2 linked regions of the Arabidopsis thaliana genome follow. The protein of the gene in region 1 interacts with the protein of each later gene in a pairwise test. Each region holds a gene or a part of one and is shown on either strand. Other genes may lie near its edges.

What was found.
Region 2: the proteins of NFC5 (region 1) and AT2G42940 interact in a two-hybrid assay, tested with the Arabidopsis thaliana proteins (one study listed by BioGRID).

What each region holds. Positions count from the first base shown.
Region 1 is NC_003075.7:14,558,397-14,564,467, forward strand, and holds NFC5 (nucleosome/chromatin assembly factor group C5), read right to left. Parts: upstream 4,206-6,071; 5' UTR 4,127-4,205; coding exon 3,873-4,126; intron 3,381-3,872; coding exon 3,320-3,380; intron 3,211-3,319; coding exon 3,151-3,210; intron 3,053-3,150; coding exon 2,990-3,052; intron 2,873-2,989; coding exon 2,807-2,872; intron 2,690-2,806; coding exon 2,615-2,689; intron 2,494-2,614; coding exon 2,418-2,493; intron 2,346-2,417; coding exon 2,150-2,345; intron 2,025-2,149; coding exon 1,943-2,024; intron 1,853-1,942; coding exon 1,779-1,852; intron 1,691-1,778; coding exon 1,579-1,690; intron 1,472-1,578; coding exon 1,397-1,471; intron 1,315-1,396; coding exon 1,247-1,314; coding exon of another isoform or gene 1,156-1,246; coding exon 1,056-1,155; intron 961-1,055; coding exon 859-960; 3' UTR 531-858; downstream 1-530. Other genes in the region: AT4G29735 (uncharacterized protein), read right to left, coding at 4,566-4,613, 4,707-4,785, 4,977-5,042, 5,664-5,764, 5,879-5,881. UniProt on the Arabidopsis thaliana protein: Core histone-binding subunit that may target chromatin assembly factors, chromatin remodeling factors and histone deacetylases to their histone substrates in a manner that is regulated by nucleosomal DNA.
Region 2 is NC_003071.7:17,861,713-17,865,300, forward strand, and holds AT2G42940 (Putative AT-hook DNA-binding family protein), read right to left. Parts: upstream 1,745-3,588; 5' UTR 1,559-1,744; coding exon 785-1,558; 3' UTR 542-784; downstream 1-541. Other genes in the region: AT2G42950 (Magnesium transporter CorA-like family protein), read left to right, coding at 2,347-2,480, 2,586-2,949, 3,039-3,227, 3,325-3,416. UniProt on the Arabidopsis thaliana protein: Transcription factor that specifically binds AT-rich DNA sequences related to the nuclear matrix attachment regions (MARs).

The DNA.
Region 1 (6,071 bases):
GTGTGTTTGTATGCGTCGACAAAGAAGGTTTTGTTTGGTTATAGCTGCAATGAATCAATGATGAGAATCCAACAAAACCTAGAGAAGCCCCTATGAGATGGTCTTATATCTATAAATGAGTAGTGTACTTAATGTCAGATAAATCAAAACCCCATGAAAGGCTTAGTACCTAGATGTTTTTAACTAGAGAGAGAGAGAGAGAGAGAGAGAGAGAGAGAGAGAGAGAGAGAGAGAGAGAGAGAATCTACTAGAAGATATTATGCAATAAATTTCCTCAAATGTTGCTACCTAACTCCCTCACCCCACAATCCCAAGAGTATTAAGTTCAATTGTCTGCAAGTTTGTATAGATGTCAGGTCTTAAGATTGCACAAATCCTTTGTAGATCTAATGAGTTGATCCGGTTCAACCCGGTTTACGCAGAACCAATCTTGCTTGAAATGAAACCGAATAGAGGTGAAGAGCGACGATTTTCTATCTGCTTTTGTTGTTGGAAGTAGAACTGAACGGTTCAGGGACACATGAGTCAAATGTCAAGCACTTGAGATTTGGATTTCACTGATTCAATCTGTTGTTTTAGTTTGGTCTTGCTTAACCAAGTTTGGATTCACAAAAAAAAAAGTTGAAAATACAAGCAAGTTAGGTGCCTAGGATTAACCTGAAGAAACAGGATCAAGTACCATACAAGATTCCGGAAGTCCTAAATCTACCAATATGTTGAATTACTGGCCTACATAAACCAAGTAATATTCCGCAAAAATAACACCTAAATCGCATAAGTAAACTGATTTTCCTCGCAAAAACTGACACTAAACCCCAGCAACTTACTAATACTAATAGACATGATGGGATTGCTTCCTCAAGACTTGGAGGTACATGTGAAAACATGTGACTTGAATTTCTCTAGCTCTGTCAGGACTTCATCTTCCGGTCTGTAAATCAAGTCACTCATCCGCCATATCTGCATTAATTTACAAATCAAAAGTTTTCATTTTTACCGAGAAAGTTAATCATAGGTAGGTTCCAGAGTAAATGTAGCAAGACATTTAAAAGTACCTGCAATGTACCACCTCCACCGATACTCTCACAATTATCAGAAACACTGACAATAGTCCAAGGGTTCAATAGGCTCCAGTGGAAGTCGACCACTTTGTCCCTAAGAAGATATACACGAGGAAATTATAGATTCCACTGAAGAGAGTAAAAGGGAAAGGCAAGCAAGTGAATTAGAATTAAGTCTTGAGAACCTGTGACCAGCATGCTGGAAGAAAAGCCCATCAGGAGTTTTGGTTGCACGCTCAGACTTCTTGCCAACCTGGTGCACACATATATGTTAATATGGTGAGCTTGAAAGTAAGAGAATAGTTTTAAATGTGAATGTGAGAAATTGTACTAACCCTATCACAATCCCATATGTTCAAGAGACCATCTTCTGCAGAACTCCCAAAAACAGATGATTTATCAGGAGACCACTGAATTGATAACGAAGCAATGTCATTGGGGATAGGTTTACAGGACAAATAATATGAAAAGAAAAAAACAAAAAAAAAAAACAGAGGTGGTGGCATGTTGTTGAAACCTGAACACAAAGAACAGCAGCTCTGTGGCCTTCAAATTTGTAAACAGGTGAACCAACTCCATTTGAGGTAAGGTTTCGGCGGTCAAACACACGGACAGTGTTATCTGCTGACCTGGAAAAGTGATGTAGAAGCGTAGAGTGAGAGGACGAGTAGCATCTCTGTACTTTTGGACAAGTATTTAAGTTTGTGAAATCAGTACCCAGTCAGGATCAGATTATTGTCATGAGGATTCCAATCGACACAGTGAAGATCAGCATCATGTGCCTTCTCAACCTGCCAGCGCACAAGAAGAAACAGACGGAATCTGAAACAAGACCAAAAAGTTAAACCTCAAATGTCGATCTGGCTAAAAAAAAGAGGTACCTTCATGGCAGGACTAGTGCCAGTTCTTGCGTCCCATAGCATAAGGCAAGAATCGTCACCAACACTGCAGAATTCTTGTGCACTGTAGGACAAAACAAAAAATTACCAATTTTTTTATACCAAAAGCATCAGAAAATTCTGAGTAGGTCTGCATTTGGGTGTAAACTTAAGAGCTTATTAAAAAAGGAGACTGTCCCAAGAAGTTACCTAGATGGACAGAATGCCACGTCTTCAACAGTATCTTTGTGGCCATTATATATGCCTCGAGGGCCAACAGAAGGACCACCAGTTTTATCACTACCTTCACCAGTCTGCTTGAAGCTGGATCCAGGGGATTTGGAATCCGAACCAGCCATTGTGATATGGTCTTGGATATTCCACAAAATAACGGACTTGTCCTTGCCTGCACGGAAGAATCTTTGATGAGAAACTTGCAAACCACAAGATATGACACAAAAATAGAACTGATACAAACCTCCAGAGAGAACAAAAGGTTCGGTTGGGCACATTGCAAGAGCAAATTCAGCATCATCCTGGTGCCCAATTAGTAACTGAAAATAAAAGTTGTTCAAATGATGCAAAAAGAGTAGCTCTTTCGATTGTTAATATGATGCACAAGCAGGTTGTTTAACTCAGTGAGACAACATAACGAAAATTCTCACAAGAGCATACCAAATCTGGACGAGAATCTGGAGCTCCAAGCACAGCATACCGGTCTGGTTGAGTCTCAGTGTTCCAAATGAGAATCTGAAAACCAATATATCATACTTGCATGACTGAAACTGGAACTATTCAAAAACAAGGATACTGAATAACGAAAGCCTTTTTTTTGTCACGCTGATGACCCGAGAAAGCAGAACTTACATCAGGACTGTCGGTGTGAGTAGCTACAATCTTGCTATTTTGAGGGAGTTCCCTAATTCTGTTGACCTGCGATGAATGAAGGGTACACAAAACAAAATCTTTTTCAGCACTCAAGTCCTAAACGAAATGCAGATTCAGTAAATCCATCTAAGAAAAAACAATGAGAATACAGGAATATCACACCTCTCCAGGGTGGATGATGGTCTTGTACTTCTTCACAAATGGAGAGTGTGCCTTTTCATTAAGCTGAAAGCATATAAAGAAACGGTATTTCAATAATTTCATCTCAGCAGAGAGTAACACAAGGACAAAAGCACAAGCTTTGGTAGAGAAAAACTAATTACCTGCCTATTAACAGTTTCGCAATTGGCTATGACCAAAGTATTAGGCACACTGCCATTCGTCTAATGACAGAACCAAGAAAAAACGGTAAACATAAGGAGCAGTAAACAAACTTTGGATATTTTTCATCAAGAAAAAATGTACAAACCACAAGAACAAGAGCAAACTCACTTGTTCCGAGAGATAGAGACGTTGAGTCTTAGAACCTGCTTGCTCAAGCTGTGGCCCCCATCTGCTCAAATCAAACAACAGGATTACAACGAAATCGTACCTCTTTACACAAAAGCTAAACACTTCACTAAATCGTAGCACAGCTAAACATCTGAAACCAAAAAGTAACAAAACAGAACACCTAAACCGAGTTGGTCAAGTGTTATCAACGACATCATTTTCCTACCAAAACAAGTTCCAGAGGTTCAAAAATGGAAACATCAGATAGCTAATGAGCTAAAAGCCTAAAAGAGAAAGAAACACAGAAAAGCATGGAGACTGAGCTAAATTAAAAACCCGAACTAGAACATGTCCTAATCTCACAAATTCCAGAAACCAGCTAAGAAAAACTCTCAATCTATGAGTATTTCACTAGCTGAAACGGAAATGTAACTCAATCGCCTGACCAAAAGCACAAAGCTAGAATTTTTATTTCCCAAAAAAGAACCAACTTTCTCCAAAACCAAAGATCGAAAACCCTAGAAACAGAAAACCTATAAAAAAAAACACAGACCTGCAAGAGAGAGAGGGCCAGACGAGGGTATGATTAACAAACGAATCATAGAGAATGGGAAGAAGAGTCTTCCACTGAGAGTAAGTGTCGTCAACGGTGGCCTTTTGACTCTGCTGTAGCAAAAATGGTAACTGAGACTCGTTGTTGCTCTTAGGTTTCCGTCTTCTCTTATCCGTCAAAATGGCTGTCACCGGAGTCCTAGGTGCTCTTCTCGGCCTGGTGGCTTGAACAGTCGCTGCTGCTTCGCTTTCCATTTCCTTCTTTTCTCTCGTTTTCTCTCTACTCTCCTTTGTTTTTTTTATAATATTATTATTTATGCCACGTGGAGTAAACTTCGTCCCGGCAAATACCCAATAGGCAAATACTTAAATTAGCGAATTAAAATGATTTCTTCACACTAAAGAGTATAATCAGTATCTTCCCATTACAAAATTTGAGTAAAGCTTTCTTCTAAATCTTGGTAGAAAGTTACTAACTGATCAACTTAACAACGCAAACGCTGTTCTAAAGGCGGTGAAAATTGAAACCAAAACTCGGTTTAGCGTTCAAAAGAAGAAGATAATTTAATTGTAACTTGGTGTTTAAAGGCTACTTCTCAAGTCTTAACATTCATAACTCTGATTTTACTTGAACAAAGATAAATCTGTTTTTTTTGTCTTTGAACTAGTTGGGAATAGTATTGAGGAAGAAGGATCAGACATAAACACCACTAGCAAGTAGCAAAAACAACGATCCAAAACCCTGCAAATAACACAGAAACAGATTTTAACCAAACATTAGATTTAAAGAAAACTCTTAAACTTAAGTCAAGAGGGTGAAGAAGAAAATCCATACCAAGAAGACAGATGCAACTGCTGAAGTAGCGAGCTCCTTTCCGACGCTTCGGTTTTTCCTGGATGATGTAGCTTCATAGCTGCAACACAAATGTTATGACAGGGTAAGTTTTGATCACTCCTTGTTGGGCTGAATGAATCTAAACCAGCACAATGAATACCAAAAGAGTCCAATATGACCTTATTACAAAGAAGCTAAAATGAATGGTTCAAGTCTATCTTAAAGTTTTGACTCGAGGCTAACCCACATGCTCTCGTAGCCCAGACGCACATTACTTTAACAAACCGAATCATATCTCCTAAAACTTGCCACCCTTTGAAAGGTAAATGCTCCACGCTTAAATGAAAATCATACAAATCTAACTTTCTTGTATCTTAACTAAATCGATAATCAGTCATTTTGTCATATTCAGTGAAACTATTAGAGTACTGATTCCATTTCCATAGACTATCACCTTATCATTGATAAATTTTGAGTCTTTATATCATGATAGTATATAGAGCTCACACATTTCCAAAAGGTTACTAGATGAGTCCCATGACTTTCTTACTTTTTACCCAGAAACTTTAGTAATAAGAAAGGCACATATTTCAACAGATTAATCTAGCAAAGAGATCATGAAAGTGATGAACATGTAGCTTCAGGAGCTTTAGAAGACCTATCTCTAGAGAATAGCAATTGAGAAAGCATTGTGACCAAACCATATATATAAGCAGTAACAATGTTGGTCAAGCTTCATACACAGTGAACAAACAAGAGGAGAGCCTCACACGATTCATAGTTCAGAACCTAGTCATGACTATCACACACTAATCAAGCTTTATGAAAATCAAGATAAATCATAGGTAGATCGAATCTATCAGGAACTGTTTCACTAATCTGACATCAAGTAATATAAATTGAGAACAAGAAGGGGCAATTTCGAAGATCTAGAGATCAGATCAATTATTAGCTTACATGAAGAAGATAGCGGTAATGACGAGACCAATCGCAAGAGTGAACACCGATAAAGTCGGATACAGCGCCACCGGAATCGGACTCGCAATCGGTTTCGCCGCCTTCTCACCGGGAACGAGCACAAACACACCAAACAAAATCAGAAATCGTAAAAGCAACAAATAGAGAGATCAAATTAGCTGTGACTGAAAGCACTTGGACGGATCTAGATTTACCATTGTTGCTAAGCTCTTCTTCTTCTTCTTCGATCTGAGGAACAATGAAAAAGCTATTTGACTGATCTCGCTCGCTTGATCGCTTCACTAAACAAACACGAGTCGCTTCCGGTTTGTACTTAACCGGCTTGTTATAACACAACCACGGTTATTTTATGGGCCAGTTTTTCTGTTTAAAGGTTCGATTTAATAG
Region 2 (3,588 bases), on another chromosome or scaffold:
GTTTTCCGTGAGGTGCAAGGAGAAAACTTTCACATATTTTCGTCTTCACTGGCTAGATATAAGTACATAACGATTAGCTTCAGCATCACCAAACATGTTATTCTACCCACAGAAGTACTGATTTTAATTCAAGGTAGTTAGATAATGAAATAGGGATTTAGGGAAATAGGCTATGATGTTTAAGGTGATAGACGTACTAATGTTTTTGGCATTGCTCATGAAAGTACCCAATCATAAACATGAGAAACCGCGTTTATTTCCTTAATCCCCAGATATCTGAAACGTCAAGAGTTTGTATCTTGTTAGTGAAACCCTCAAAAATCCTCTAGAGATTTACAGATTATATAACATGTTGAAACTGGGATGAGAGTGGAGTAAAATCAGAAGTTGGTTGCTAGCTCAGTTTCCTAAATAATTGCTGGAACGGTGCAACTGCAATTGGTATCACACAGGTAAAGAGAAATCACCAGTTTGTATGATTCTTCACATGTTCTGCTATTAATGGCCAACATTCACTTTGGATCAAGGATAAAAATATTGTAATATTTTCGTATTAAATTAGAGGATTGTGCTTAAAATTCATAATCATTTACTTTTGCTTTTTTCAGTTTTTTCTTTTTACTGTTGCAGGTACAAACTACAAAGGGAGATAAGCTTCAGTTTCTTAACCAGACTTACGGTTCTCTCTCAACCTACAGACACATTTATCTTTGATTCCAAGGTAAATGAGATAATAAGATTAAGGCATTTGATATGATGAAACGTGGAGATTAGAGCAGTAGTATTAAGGTTTCGACATGACACGCTGCGCAGGCCCCCAAGAGTAGATATCAGAAGCCGAGTTTCCATTAGTGAGCAGATTTTGAGGCAGTCCATGAATGTCATCTAAAGGACGGGATCTTCCATTCTGGTAGTACTGCTGGTTCTGCATAGAGGCAGCTTCATCATCATCCATAGGAAGACGATCAAAAACAGCATTCATGAAAGATGCAGCCATGAGAACAACAGGACCAGATGCGATTAGCCCACCAACCACTCCTCCACCAACAACCTGTCCTTGAGGTCCGGCTAAGTAAATGGTCAGACCAGTTATTCCAAGTGGTGCTGGTGGAGGCAAGATTGATCCAAGCAATGAGAGGATCTCGTAACGTCCGTGTAATGTGACAATTGCTCCTGATGAAGCTGGTTGCCTTAATGTCACATTGGTGACACAACCATTGGCACTGAGAATGCAGAGACCTCTCTGTTTCCTTCTTGCAAAATCCGATAAAGTCTCACAGATGTCACAACCTGAGCTGATCTCAACGGCGTTAGCTCTGAGGGAATTTGGACTGTCGTGAGTCACAATGATTGGTGGTTTGGGTTTGTTCTTGGAGCCAGCGGGTCTGCCACGTGGCCTCTTAGCCATCTCTCCTTCGATTGATGAAACCGGTTGGACGGCTTTGGGTAATGCTCTCAGGTTGTTGTTGGTGTTGCCTCTCTCTGTTGCTTCATGGTTCCTCATTGGAACAGACTTGGATCCTACAGAGGTTGGAGTTAGAGCTGTACCTCCAGCCATTGTTATGAATGTTGTTATATGTTCAACTGAAAGATTCAGAAAATTTGTGAGGAGTTTGTGAGTTTAAGTAAGGAGATTTTGGTGAATTATTAAATGGTAGAGACACCAAAAGAATGATTGTGAGGAGTAGGAGATGGTTAAGTTGTCACCAAAAATTGTGATTAATAGTTAACAAATTTATTTTGCAAAAAAAGAAAAAAAAGAAAAGTTTCTGGCAGCCTACTTCTCAACAGATGATTAAGTATTTGATTCATGACAATTGTCTTCTTTAACAGAGAGATTCATAATAATGCTTAAACATCTTGTAGCTATTTACAACCAAATTTATACCCTTTTTGGGACCAAAACTAAAATCAAATACTGATCGAGAGTTGAGAAACAACAAAAAATGAGAGTCGTCCACTGCTCTGTATTTTATCGCCTTCCATACTCGACTCTTATTGGGCTTTTAAATTGGTCCTACAGAGAAGGTCCAATAAGGCCCAAAATATGTAAATGTACACGTGTGGTTGGTTCTTAGCCTTGACTTGTCGTCCTCGACCTGTGCCACATTCATCTCTCTCTCTCAGTCAAATTGTTGTTTTCTTTCTTCGAATCGGTGCAGAAAATTCAGGGAAGTTCTGGGGAAGGTTGTTGCGTTTGACTCCTTTGGCTTAGTTTTCTTTCGAATTCCGTGCTTCCTGATGATCTTACGTGAAATTGCAGCCTAAAATTTCGAGATTGTTTTTTTTACTCAGAAAACGAGATTTGACTGATATGAATCGAAAATCTGTGATTTAAAGTGAAGCATGAATGCGAATCACAAGAACGGGAATCCAGGTTACCATAATCTCTGGACCAATGGACTTATCTGTGCTTTCGAGTTTTGTCAAGGTCGTCGTAAGAATAACACAAGTGTCCATGGAGATTCGTCTCTCAGAATGTATGATGATTGTTACTAACTTGTTGATACATATTAGTGCTTAGTCTCTTTTTTTCTTTTTCTTGTAGAGTGTTTTTTTAAACAGTGTTGTTGTTGTTGTGATAGAAAGAAACAGGAATGTGAAACAGATCAATTTGGTACTGGTGAAGACGAAGAACATTCTAGGAGTTATTGGCGAGGAATTGGATGGGATAGGATCTCTGAGCTTGTTCAGACTGTTCAAGTTGATAATAATTGGGATTTGCGAAAGATTGACTTAGATGAGGATGAAGCCACTGTTGCTGAGCTTGCTGCTCCTTACTGGGAACGACCACTTGCTGGTCCAACTTGGTGGTGTCATCTTGATGCTACCCATCATGGTATTGCCTCGTGGTTACGTAATGCGCATTGGTTACATCCCGCGGTCAGTCTTGCTCTGCGGGACGAAAGCAAACTGATTAGTGAACGAATGAAACATATTTTCTATGAGGTAACAAAAATCTGAGTTATGTTGCTTCTTTGTAATGTGAGCTGTGCTATGATTCTATAGCTGAAATTTGTTAATATGTTGGTGGATAGGTGCCTGTCAGAGTTGCTGGTGGGTTGCTGTTTGAGCTGTTGGGACAATCAGCGGGTGATCCTTTCATCCAAGAAGATGACATACCTATTGTCTTAAGGTCTTGGCAAGCACAGAATTTTCTGGTGACTGCATTGCACGTTAAAGGCTTTGCCTTGAACATTAGTGTCTTAGGTATTACTGAAGTCCAGGTTTGTTCTTCTTATTTGAATCATTGTTTTCCTTTACTCGTTGATCAATTAGTCAAAACTGGTTTTCAGTCTTCTGGGGTTCCTTCTGTCTTACCAGGAAATGCTTATTGCTGGTGGAGCCTGCATTCCGAGAACCGTTCATGAACTAATAGCACATCTTGCATGCCGCCTTGCACGCTGGGATGATAGGTATTTCCCTTCCCTTGAATCTAGATTAAGTTGTGAAAAAAGTTGTATATATTGGGGAAGTTTAGTATTCATTATGAAAGTCTTTAGCAGTGGATACACATTTACATGGTCTATACGGTGTAGCCAATGAAATTGTTAAACCTTTGTATTGCTTTGATAGAACCTATTTGTC